2 linked regions of the Caenorhabditis elegans genome follow. The protein of the gene in region 1 purifies or fractionates together with the protein of each later gene. This does not show direct contact. Each region holds a gene or a part of one and is shown on either strand. Other genes may lie near its edges.

Region 1 (6,917 bases):
TTCTCATTACTATTCGAATATTTTATATAAGTTCCGTCGCTCGTAGTTCTGTAGAAATAATCAACGTAGTTTATGTTTGCTGAAAACTATGAATGAGAAAACTCCCTGTGAATCATATTGCATCTGTAACATCTTTTTTTGTTTTCCCCTGTAGCGTTTAGTTTGGGCCTTCTTAATTGTTTGTTTTTTTAATCAATTTTGTTATTTTGTTGTGTTTCTAATCATCCATCTCCCAACTCTTATCCGAATCTGATGCCATTTTTCCTTGTCATTCGCAATCAATTCGTATGCCATTTTCTTGGTCCCATCTGTAGATTTAAACTCTCCGCATTGCGTTTTACCTCCCTCTCGTTTAATGTATACAAGAAGAATCGAAGGTAACGTTTTATCTTTTTTATCACTTATAAAATTATTCATCTTAAGTACTCTTTCACATCCTCCCCAATTGCATATTTTCTCGCAGATTGCGCATTAATTTTTTTTTCGAATAAAATTTTTTCGATAGTACGACTTGTTGTCTAGTTGAATTCAAACCTGAAACTTTATTAGATATGATGATAATCTATTCCGATTTAGATCAAAACTTGTATTATTATACAAAAAAGGTTGAAAACCGTTAAATGAACCCGTTGAACGTGTTTTAAAACGAGAATATTGAGAAAAGTGACTGAAGAGGTAGGAAACAATTGAGATTTGGAAATTGAGAGAAATTTGGTGTGTTGTGGTAAAATAATGAATATTTTTAAGATTAAAAAGGCCTCCAAATAGTCGGAGAAGAACTATTCGATGAAGTTATTGATACATTTCTTCGTCTTTTTGATTCTACAGATTCCGGAGTTTCTTGAATTAAATTAATTGAAGTTTCTGATGATTTTGTGATTGAACGAGGAGAAGATGGTCGTTTTAACTTCCGATCATCAGAAGTTGGAGTTATAAAAATTGATGGAGATGATAGGCATGTAGACGTATTAAGGGATACTGCAATTAATAAATTATATATATATATTTATTTCCGAAAAAATAATCTAACCATTTTCCTGTTCAACTTTTTGTTTAATCGGAGTTTTCATCGATTCGCTGTGAATTTTCCAAAGTGCAGCTGAGATAGAAGGATGTGGTCCTGGAGAGATAAGCGGAAAAAATGATGGGCTGAAAAATATAAAAATTATTTTATGAATAATGTGAAATTCGAAAAACTTACGGGAAAGTTTGAGTCATTGGTAAAGGAAACCATGGTGGTGGAATCATTGTCATTGGCATCTGAAAATTAAATTTTTAAAAATTGTTTGCAATTTTTTCATGAATGTTCTTCTACAGTTTTTTGCAGAATTTTTCAAATTAAAAACATTTCAAAAATGAATGAATTTTTTATATTGGGGACGCAGAAAAATGTGAATTTTGAAATTGGGGGTGTGAGCGCGCTCCAACGCCAAAAGTCTCCGCCCCCAAACGCTGGGTCTCGTTAGGTATTATCGGATGAATTTTATATCGAAACTGATGCCATAAAATTCATAATCAAATAAAAACCCTTATTCACTTTTCTGTACTTTTCAAAACATTATTTCACAGTAAAAATCATTAGAGTCAATTGAGAGTAGAAACAATTTAATTCTCGAAATCAGGTGAAATCAGCAAAAGTTATTGAAAACGTTTGAATTTCTGATATTCCCGCCAATACCTAACGAGACCCAACATGAGGGGGCGGAGCGTTTTCATTTGCCTCGATTTCAGAAAAAGGAGACTACTGTACTTCTTAAAGTCACATCCTTTTTTTCTCAGGCTTTATTCAACAAATTCTGGTAATTTCGAGACCCTATACTTAAGTAATTAATACAAAATTTTGTTTGTACAAAAATCAAAAAATCGTACCGGTGGTCCAGGCGTTCGGATAATATCATTTGGGAATATTGTCTGCTGTTCTGCCTGCCGTTTCAAAGATCCTTGTGGTTTTGGTATTCTCGCATCCCTTGGTCCATCAACCGTAACCTATAATTAAATTAATAAGTTTTATCGTATTAAACTGACATCATTTCTTCCCATTCCAACATATTTGGCTTCCTTTTTTAAAAAATAAATTTGAATAAATAAACCAAAACTCAATGCAACATAAGAAGTTGCAATTGATAAGAATATTTACCGATTACTAGGCTTTCTGAAAACTAGTTTTTATTTGTAAAGAGGTGTACCAGGTGACGCATCGTGGTTAATAATCAGATAAGAGAGTACGGTAGTTGATGTGCGGTAAATCTATACATTGTTTTAGAAAACTTAAAGATGGAGTAGTTAAAGAGGGAATTTTGTATAAATTTGTACTCATAAAATAACTGATATCATAAAAACGCTTAAAATTTTTTTTGATTTCCTAACATTTTTGGGAGATTCTGAGCAATTTCTCATGTTTGCCCCAACAAAAAATTTAAAAGAATAAAGCTTTTTTTGGTCGACTTCCAAAATTTTGAGTGGCAATTACAGGGTCTCGACACGACGGAAATGTTTTAAAATGTTAGCTATAGAATGGAATACGCTCATTAAAAAGTATGTAGTTCTCACGTCACAACTTTTTTCGATTTTTCGTTGTTTTTTGTAAAATCAGATGCTCGAAGAGAAATAAGAATTAGAGTGGATGTAAAACTACAGTACCCTTGAGAGGTGCATGCTCCTTTTTATTCCAAAAAAATCAGTCGTTTCGAGACCCTTAATTTGTATTATTCATTTGCGAGTTGTAGCAGCCAAAAAATCTATTTTGCCTCAAAAATAGCACAACTTCGGTTCTGGGTAGGGAAATATTTGGTAATTTTTGAATCATAAGTTATCCAATTAATTCAAAAAAAGATTGATACTTACTCAATGTAATTATCAATTACCTATAGGCGCATTTAAAATCTACATGATATCATATAAATACATTCCCTTCTCCTTAGAATTCCACAAAACTTCCCACAATCCATTCGGATAAACTCACCTTGATCACATTTTTGACGGTGGCCACCATCATCGGCGCCGAATGTATAACGATTGTCAAATGGAATTTTCGGCCTGCAAAAGACACAAAAAACGATTGGAAAATGTGCAGTTTTATTATGAGCCGACGATGTTCTTCTCCATTCCGCCGCCGCCGCCACCTCACAAAAAGTATCCCATTAAATGCGGGCATTTGTCGCGCATTTTTATGTTACACTGATGTTCCGGATAATATAATGGCTCCGGTCAGACTACTCAGGTGGAATCATCAGTTTATTGGAAAATTTTATTATTTTAATGTGGAACACGGCCGTTAATGTATGCGCTTTTAAAATGAGAAAATGTTTAGACAGAAGTGGAAAAAATGATAAGAAAACACAAATCAATAGATTTATAAGAGGTTAAATTAATTTTTTGGTTTTTTGATACAACTAAAAGTTACATGCACCATACGTTATTATAATAAACCGTGCATTTCCATGCACTTCCCAGAGCTCAACTTTGGAATTTTACATATCGGTTATTTTATATTTATTGATAAATTTAGGAAAAATGAAGTTCAAAGCCCATAACGTTGTAATTGATAGATTGATAGAAACTAATAGGTAGAATATGAAATGTATTTATCAGGGAATTAAATTATTTAATTTACTATTAGTAATTTTAGGAAGTTTCATTTTTTTTTGTCTCCCAAGTGTCATACTTTTTCTACCCGCATTCTTACCTCTCACCACTTTTCTCTACTTACCTACCAATTGCAGTTACATATACAGTACTTCTTTGTCAGTTGACTACTTTGTACTAATACCCACAAATATGTGGTCATTACCCCTTTTTTCTACCCGCGCCAACCGGTTATTTGGCTACAGTACTCACCTCTGCCGGACCGCCCGACAAACCGCAAATCGTTAAATTTTGCCACTTGTCGATGCACTTTTGCTTTCTCATTTCGAACTTCTTCGCATGGTTTTTCGTCATTTCCAGCCCAAATTGATACTGAAAATATTATTTGAGCAGTGAAGAAATTGCTTTTTTTATTTATTTTGAAATATAAATTTCAACATAAAGCAATGCAAATATAAGGTTTGTTTTATCATTTTCAGAAATGCTCAATCACATGATTTCAACAATAATTCAAGAGAAGGCAAAATTCCAAAAAAATCATTCCAAACTTATTTCAAATCGTAGAGAGTTTTGAAAAAAGTAAAAATATAAATACGAAAGTGAATCAAAAGAAAAATCAATAATTTACCTTCTGTATTATCTGGAACAGGCGTTAGTAATACAACATAAAATGGTTCTTGAAATGATTTATTTGATCTCCAATGCTTCGGAAGAGCTGTGTATAAAATGTTTGGAGATGATGATTTCTGAAAATTTATTGTTTTGTAAAAATATCTCACAATTCTTTTACACTCTTGTTCGTCATTATATAAAATGTAATATTTTTCGATTGATAATTACAAAGTCAATTTCAATGAAACCTCTAAAACTCAACAAAATCATCGAAATGCTTGTGGTTTGAGCTGAATACTTTTATGATAAGAGAATGAAGATTACTGTATTCATTTGATTACTCAATTTCCAACCGATGCAAAATCAATATACTCTATGTCTTGCAAAAAAAAGTTCAAAAACAAAATGTAAAAATGTTGCTATAAGTTGTAGTTTGGTGTAGTGTAATTTTTATTTTTCATTTCATACCGTCTCGTAAATCTTTAAGATGATTTGATAAAATCTGCTCATAATTGACTATGGAAAATCAATACCCTAGAGTCATGAACTACCGTATACTCTCAAGAAAAGGAAGAGTTTTGAAATTTTTAAAAAAGTACATTTAAATTTGTAAAACTTTGCCGGGAAAATTAACTCAACTTTTTCTAATGTTATGAACGAAAATTAAAAAAAAACTGTAGAAATTCCGTTCACAGACTAGATAAATTGTAAGTTCTTTTACGTTCGGATTTTTGGAAATTTTAGGAACAATTGTTAAAAGTCACTGTAACAAAACCAAAATTTCCCAATTTCGAATCGAAATGCTCAATTCAAAATTATTGTGATATACAGGTACAATTTTAAAGTTAAAGTGACTAGATTATGATTTTAGGAAAAATTGAAAAAATCCAGGTTTATCAATATTTCAGGTTTTAAAAAACGATTTTTCTTCCGAAAACCGAATAAATGACTTAAGAAAGTTTAAAAATTGAAAACCTAAGACTTCGAAGTTTTTTTATAAAGAATCACAGGTGTTCAAGTGCCATACATACCTCTAATGTTTTAGCAGGTGCAGGTTGTTGCTCTATAAAATTCCGAACGTGATGGAAGACGTTGGTCATTTCTGTTAGTTTCCCAGAATACTTCCAGCACTGAAAATGAACATATTTAATTGAGTAGTGATAGAAGGTATTTGAAAATTCAAGAACAATGAAACTATTGCTTGCAATCATAATGACAAAAAAAAATTAGAGATCTGAAAGCTTCATGTACATTTTTTATGGGGGTTTCAAGGCGGAGTAGGGAAATTATTTAAAATTACTACTAGTGCTTTTTGTGACCAAATATCATAGTGCATTTTATTATTTTCAGACAAACAGTGACAAATGCTCATTATAATAATTTTGGAAGTCAACCAAAAAATGTTCTACGAGTTTTATTTTTTATAGGAATGCAATAATACTGAATTCCTCGAAAGGTCCAAATGTTTCGAGGTATTTTTCCAAAACTGTCAGAAGACTGAAAAAAAAACTGACAAATCTGAAACGTTTTAGTGTGTCTTATTTGGATACTCAGATTAAAAAAAAAACATTTCGAGTATACATATATGTTTTTTGACAAAATTTCCACTGATCCTTCTCCGCCTTAAAATTATATTTTGATCCATAAAATTCAAAGAAAAACATTTTTTTCGTCGAATAAATTTTAACATAACATTTAGTAAACAAATAAATAAAAACAAGATTGCCAGAAACGAGCCAATGATGTCTTTTGGCCGTGCAACCGCAAAAACTAGATAAATAGACGATTGTGCTCCGTTTTCAACTGATAAAGCGGAAGTGTGGTTTGGAAAGAAACGAAGTTTCAAAATGGGTGTTTATATGTTCAAAGAAGACACACCTATGAAATTGGTTAAAGAATTTGAAAATTACTAAAACGGAACGAAACGAGGGGAAAAAGATTGTTGAATTCCAGAGAAAAAAGGAAGTTATTTTATTTGCTTACACATTCTTTAAACTACCAACTTCTCAAAAATTGATAACTCTATTCAAATAAAGTTTATGAATGACTTCAAATAAGAAAATGAAGAAAATTATATATTCAACAATTTTCCAAGTAGACAAACATTTACTTATGAATCTAAAAAAGTTTAATAACCTACAAGGAAGTTGTGATAGAGTTGGAATATATTTGCATCTTATTTAATTCTTTACAATTTCAATTTTTGTTTCTTTTCAAAAGTTGCTGGATTTTGCCTTTCCTTTTCTAAATATTTTAAAATTTGTGGTAATTTAACAATTTGGCAGTTACCAAATTAGAAAATATTTTGAAATCGGAATTTCCGGAAATTACCAAACAAAACATGCCCAGGAGACAACTTAATTGTAAGAACGTACAATATTTTTTCACTAGGTAATCAAATAATTTCTCCAAAATCGTCCACCATTTCTCGTTATTTCAGATTCGAGTTTTCGCGATAAGAAACAATGAAATTACGGTATTTTTCTTATTGCTCTAACAGAAGTAATTTTGAGTAAGGGGATGGTACTAGAAATATTTTTTCTTATAAAACTTATAGGATGACTCTTTAAATATTTTATATGATAACTTTAAGAAAACTCATAGTTATTTGGATTTCCGGTTTCAAAGCTTCGTTCATAGCTGAAACTCATGTTTGACTTATTAACTGTGAGTTTGTTTTTCTGAACTAAATATTTACTTCAAACTTGTCACAAATTATT
Region 2 (6,187 bases), on another chromosome or scaffold:
TTGCACATAAAACTGCAACATTCAGAGGAATGGCTCAGTGAAATGGGGATGAGTGTAGGAGAAGACAATAAAAATGATAGTGTTACTTTTGGAATATTTTGTGTCGCACAGACAAAGGGCCACTAGGATAGAGTAGAAAGGGGGCGACACACTCACGGCCCCTGGCAAAATGGTTCTCAAGGGACATAATTCTCCCGGAATGGGGCACTTTTTTTGTCACTGGCACAGAGGGGAGAGACCGTCGAGCACTCTTATTTTGAACTTCATTGAAGAAATTAGTGGGAATTCGTGGGAATGATATTCCATATGTGAGAATTCAACCATGAATTTTCAATCAACCATAATGGCTCTGGGTAAGTAAATATGATGACAATGGTGCATATGGTTTGATTCTTCCATTTCGTCAACGCGGCCACCAAAAGAGAAAACTCAACCGCTCATTTTTTTAAAATTTCTTTGATTTTTCCTGCAACCTATTTTTACATAGTGTGGTTGTATTTACTATGCTAAAAACTTTATTTCCAAAGTGAAAAAATTCAAAAAAGGAGATTTTACAACGCACATGAATATGAGAAACTGCTGGGGTACGTAAATACAGGTAGATATCATTATTGAAGAAAAATAAAAAATAAGTGTTAGGAACTTCCAAATTGAGAACTATTTTTGAGAAGCTGGTCCAGTATTTGTAGAGGACGGTGCAAAGTTACTTCAATCCAACATGGGGTTTCCTGGAAAAAAGTCATTGGTGACTAGTTCTTATAGAGTAGTCGACATACCTTAATAGTTTTCCTCTGGTAGACATCACCCCAAGCTTTTACAAATGAAATCGCAATTGTACAGAAGTCACGACGCATCCTGTCAACTCCACTGTCAGGCATTATCGCTGGCATCACGGACATCTGAATTTTTAAATATTTTTTAAACTTGGGTATCAGGCTTTGCTTGTTCGTGTTCGTGATATATGATGCTTTGAGTCTGTGAATTAAAAGTGTACAATTAGCTAGCTGATGCCCGAAGCATCATCAGGGTAAATTGAATCTTTGATTCTCAGAAATAATACATCACCCTGGTCGCAAATTTAGTCAGTTTCACTAATAATTTTTAAGTGAACTATGGCATTGGGTCCGTGCAGAAAATCAGTACACTGATCATATGATGCACCATATGGTGCGTCGAGTCGTTTTTTTGCTTGCAAATTACTACTAACCGGTGCATATCCAGCAACAGCTGCCGCCTGTGCTCGTACTGCTTCATTGCTTGATCGAGAACGTCGGAGCATCTGCATGTAGGCCCATCTGATGTCGAATACCTGTAACATTCTATCATTTGTAAAACTCCCTGAATGGGAACATACTGTAAATGAAGATTCATTCGGAGTGAATCGATGTGCTTTACTACTGTACTCGGATCCATGAGTGTAGTCTAGGTACCCGGATCGGACGAAAATTTTACAATTTGAAGTGATAGAGATGTTGCCATCGGCGTGAGCGGTTAATTCAACACCACGACCAATATGGATTCTGCAAAACAGTGTTATATTTTTCTTCATGATCCTGAATTAAAATTACCTTGCTTTTTCACTAGCTTCTGTTCGATGAACATTTGAAAGTGCTCCAAGACATAACCTTCCTTCATTTTCTCCATGTGGATCCATTCCACCATCTACTATTACTTTTCCATGATCGCGGGCGCTGACCTAAAATTTAGAAAATTAAAATTATTTAATAACGCCATTGCACATTTTTGATAGAATCACGCTCTTTCACAAAAATTTCTAGGCGATTTGCACCATGAATGAATAGTCATCAGATTTCATAGAAAAACATACCTTAAAGGTTTCACCAATGGGTGTATCCAGTTCATAATAAATGATTGAACACCAATTATCAAGTAATTGTGGAGGTGTTGGAACATATATTTGATTGAGATCTATCGGAATATCAGAAATAATCGGTGTGACTAGCTGAGGTTGATCTGGTGCAAATCCTCCTGAAAAAAATTGGGTCACATTTAAAATCGGTCTCTAAAATTCTCAGTGTTGATTTTGTATTAAATATATTCATGCTCATCTTGGGCAGATGAGAAATGCCTCTATCTACCCTTTATCTTCACTAAACATCCATATCAAACAAATAAGTATTAGAAGGTACGTAGGCAGGCATAAAAGTCAGAGAGAGAGAGCAGCCACCTCTACTTACAGTTTTGGAGTTCAACTCTTACCATTAAAATTGTTATCAGGAGGTGTGTTCGGCCAATCACTGCAGCTATCAATAACTCCTGCATCTCCTAAATATTCGCTCTTCATAGGTGAATTCTCCACGTGAAGTGATTGATCTGCACTTGTTATCCGATTTGAGACAACTCTTTCGTAGTGATAAGGATTAATGCAAATATTATCAGGATGATCTGATGAAGTTTGACATTGAACTAATTTCTGGAATAGTTCAGTTTATTTCCGAGTTCAAACATTTTCATGTACCACAAGTTCATTTTTGCTAACTTTTGGCCATCTCCATATTCTTGCGTAAACTACATGTGGAACACCTTTCCGTCCAGCAACTTGAAGGCGTCCATCCAAGGATCTCTAAACTTTTAAAGATGATAACTGTATTTAAAATTGAAGAATCGGAAGTACTAACAAAAATCCATTTAAAATGTTCAAACCGGAAAAAACTTTGACATTATTATTTTACTTCAAATTCACGAAAAAAAATTTGAAAATTTTGTTGGTTATTTTAGAAAGTTGGCAAGCAACATGTTTTTCTCTTTGAAATACCCATAAACTGCTGAAATTTATATCTGGAATTTTGAAATTTTCGAAAATTCCAAGCATAAAATAAAAAATTTTAGGTTACTGTACAGAAGCAAAAGGTTGTATTATTTCAAACCTGAATAGTAACACATCCAGTTGGTTGTTTTCCATTTGAAGTAACTGCTGTAATCAATGCATCCAATTCAATTCGTTTGTCTTTCAATTTTTTGACAAGAGATTCGATGGCTTTCCGTACAAAATCACTGTCCTCTCCACCCTGAAACACGTGTAAATTGTTTAATTCTCTTTCAATGCTCCAGTTTTCAAATTCCACAGCTATCTTGGCGCCTGCCGTACCCACAATGTTTGTTTTGTAGTTTGGAGTTTTTTTTAATTATTAAAACTTCTTTTGTTTTGCTTGACAAGTTTTGGAATACCTTTTTCAAAATTGTTCTGAAAAATAAAAGTGGAAAAGTAGTTTCAGAACTATTTTGTAAAAATTCCAGAGTTTTTTCTTTCCTAAAGTTTTATGTTAAAGTTTACAAGAAAGAAAAAATTCTGGAGCTCTGAAATTTTCAGAGTTTTATTCAATGATTTCATCAGAGGAAATCAAATAAAAATTTCAAGTCTAGTACGTTATTTTCAAATGTAGAGAAGTTTCAGTTTAATCTAAATTTTTGGTTCGAAAATTTTCATAAATCCCAAGCAGATATGAATATGCAACTTTCTCAGCAATTTTTTTTGAAAACTTAAAATCCATACAACTTGAAATGTATTTTAATAGGAAAACAAGTATTTTAAAACATTATATTTTTACTTAAAATTTTTCTATTTTTCAAAGACCCCTTCTACCTGCTGATAACATTGTAAAACATGTGAAATCTGCTGACATGAATCCATTGCAGTTGTGAGAACTGCTCCAGCATTCGGTGGAATCGGTGTTGGATTGACTGTAGGTGTAGGTGGAGGTTGGGATGAAGCTTGTGATGATGTACATGGTGTAGGCGTAAATACACAAGAAATGTTATTATTGTTATATGAAGATGGTTGAGAAGGTATCAAAAATCCATTAAAAGAAGACGCTTCGTCAAGAGTACTTATTGTCGGCACGTTCGGAAAATCATATGGATGATCATTTGTGAACTGTGGTGGCATTTGAGGTAATAACTGAAATTTTTTGATTTAATAAATTTTGAAAAGCTTATCGATTTGGTCACTGGGATATAAGTTTATTGATTTTTTCGTTACATATGCAGAAAAATAGTAAAATGAGGTCCATTTTATTTTTGAGAGAATTAGTTTTCAAATATCACTGAACCAACCGGATATCGATTATGCGAGTTGTTGAAATACTGCATTCCGCATAAAATATTTGCCTGGTGGTAATCCATTGGATTGCACTGAAATAGTTAAAATTAATATTGTCTGAATTTTGTACTTCAGTTTCTAAATGCAAAGCACGAAGACAGTTTTATTTGTATTTTAAGAATCAGAAGCAATTACTAGACTACTATAATAGATAAGTGTTCCCCAAAAATGTTCATATTCTCTCATTCTCTCGCGCTCTCTCTTGAACTGTCTCCTACAATATAGTGCTCACCTGTACAATTTGCTCTGCTCCATACAAAGGATCATAATACATTTGGTTAGAAGTAGACGGCTGAGATGTCATACCTGGATGAAACATTATTCGACCAATTCAGACGTTTTTCGAGAACAAAGTGACAAAGATTGAGAGATAGAAAATGATAGCAAACCCACAAAAAAGTTGAAAAAAGAGGCGGAGTCACGGGAAGCAGAGAATACGGGAGAGCTGAATGGAGAAAATGGGAGGTGCTTACTTAGAACGGTTGGTGATAATCAGATAATGAAGAATAAATGAAGTTGTGATTCGAGGTGACAACGGAAGAAGACGATTAAGGATGAAGATCAGAAAGAAGGGACAAATCAAACAGCAATGGGATCTCAATTTAAAAATAAATGTTCCAATTATATGATTTATTTCTTTTTAAATTGTGCTTTCAAGGAAAGGATGAAGTGTGTTTGAAAACTTGGATTTAGGGAAAACTCCCTAACTACAGCAGACACACCGACCTACCACAACAAACATTCCAACATTCCAGCAATCAGTCCAGCATTCCAACTATGAAAACCAAACTATATTCTTATACTCTTTGTTTTGTGCACTTTACCACGCATTTAAATAATTGTGCAATGTGTCAATTACTAAGTACATAAGTACATGTAACAACAAACAACTAAAATAAGGAGTGGAATTCTGAAAATAGATGTGATTAATTTTTGAATGCTTCTCCCACAGAAACAATTCTACAAGTAAAAATTATTCAACAGTGAGTCAGTGGAGAACTATTTAAAAAATTCTCCATAACATAAAAAAAAAACATTGCTAATTTTAATAAAGTCGAACCTCAGAATCATCTGACAATTGTCATGCCATCTCTTTTTCTTCTTTGAAAATGATAAAAGTGCAATTTTGGAAAAGAAAAAGCATTAATCGAAAGGGAAATTAGTTTATCGTTCAGGGTGGGAATGACGAAGGAAGTAAAAAAGTACATCATCAAAAGATCAGAAATGCTCAGCGAGCAAAAAATAAAATGATAGAGAAATGTGAACAGTCCATTCTGCAAAATAGTTTAAATTATCTGAAACAATTGAGAGAACTAGGTCACCCACAAACAAAGTTATAAAAACCATTTCTGGCCATCCGGGGGACTTGTTTCATTATGAATGGAGAAAACTCGGCCATCAATATATCTCGCGGCCACATGGTGAGAAGGCGAGGAGAGAGTGCAGACAGCCAAAGTCTCTAGCCTCTCTGCGTCCCTGCAAACTCTACCAACCGCAATCTACGTGACAACACCGTGTAGCATAAAATTGTGTCTTAACCAGCCTGAGACACTGTTTTGTTCAATATGCCGGGAACTGTCCCATCGGTGCGGACTGCTCATCGATCAATTTAATTCGAAGCCGTCACACCTAATTTGTGTAAGGGGGATGTGCCCATATGTGTTCTCTACCTCCACATACCCATCACTCTGCGTCTCTTCGGCGCCAGTGACGATAAATGATCATAACAGGTGAATGGGAAGAGGAGGAGAGGATGGAATCGGAGAAAAATAGAGAGAGAGAGAGAGAGAGAGAGAGAGAGAGAGAGAGAGAGAGAGAGAGTGGCACAAGTTGAAAGAAAGGGAAATAGCTAATTTTCAGACATTTTCCTGGTTTATTGCTTATCTGCCAACGGTCACGTATGTCACATCAATAGAACATATCTTTAAGTGTTGAAGCAGCAGCGGGCACTTCGTGTGTCACTAAAATTTCATATTAGGGAGGCGGTGCCGCACAATGTTGGCTGCTTCAGACCATGATCAGCAGAACGGCAATACAAATGCGCTATATACGATGATCACTATGTTG

What was found.
Region 2: the proteins of rnt-1 (region 1) and sma-4 purify together in Caenorhabditis elegans (affinity purification with western blotting, with the first as the bait; one study listed by BioGRID). This does not show direct contact.

The regions. Positions count from the first base shown.
Region 1 is NC_003279.8:5,782,221-5,789,137, reverse strand, and holds rnt-1 (Runt-related transcription factor rnt-1), read right to left. Parts: upstream 5,328-6,917; 5' UTR 5,298-5,327; coding exon 5,229-5,297; intron 4,497-5,228; exon of another isoform or gene 4,476-4,496; intron 4,332-4,475; coding exon 4,214-4,331; intron 3,958-4,213; coding exon 3,838-3,957; intron 3,037-3,837; coding exon 2,963-3,036; intron 1,987-2,962; coding exon 1,870-1,986; intron 1,261-1,869; coding exon 1,202-1,260; intron 1,150-1,201; coding exon 1,031-1,149; intron 979-1,030; coding exon 749-978; 3' UTR 528-748; downstream 1-527. UniProt on the Caenorhabditis elegans protein: Transcription factor. Binds to regulatory DNA sequences in order to modulate transcription; negatively autoregulates its own expression, perhaps dependent upon CBF beta homolog bro-1.
Region 2 is NC_003281.10:5,814,514-5,820,700, reverse strand, and holds sma-4 (Dwarfin sma-4), read right to left. Parts: upstream 4,470-6,187; 5' UTR 4,425-4,469; coding exon 4,353-4,424; intron 4,153-4,352; coding exon 4,075-4,152; intron 3,920-4,074; coding exon 3,605-3,919; intron 3,030-3,604; coding exon 2,889-3,029; intron 2,585-2,888; coding exon 2,480-2,584; intron 2,435-2,479; coding exon 2,221-2,434; intron 1,990-2,220; coding exon 1,829-1,989; intron 1,697-1,828; coding exon 1,569-1,696; intron 1,521-1,568; coding exon 1,355-1,520; intron 1,310-1,354; coding exon 1,208-1,309; intron 900-1,207; coding exon 777-899; intron 729-776; coding exon 636-728; 3' UTR 504-635; downstream 1-503. Other genes in the region: R12B2.7 (Ovule protein), read right to left, coding at 5,188-5,394, 5,447-5,467. UniProt on the Caenorhabditis elegans protein: Involved in TGF-beta pathway.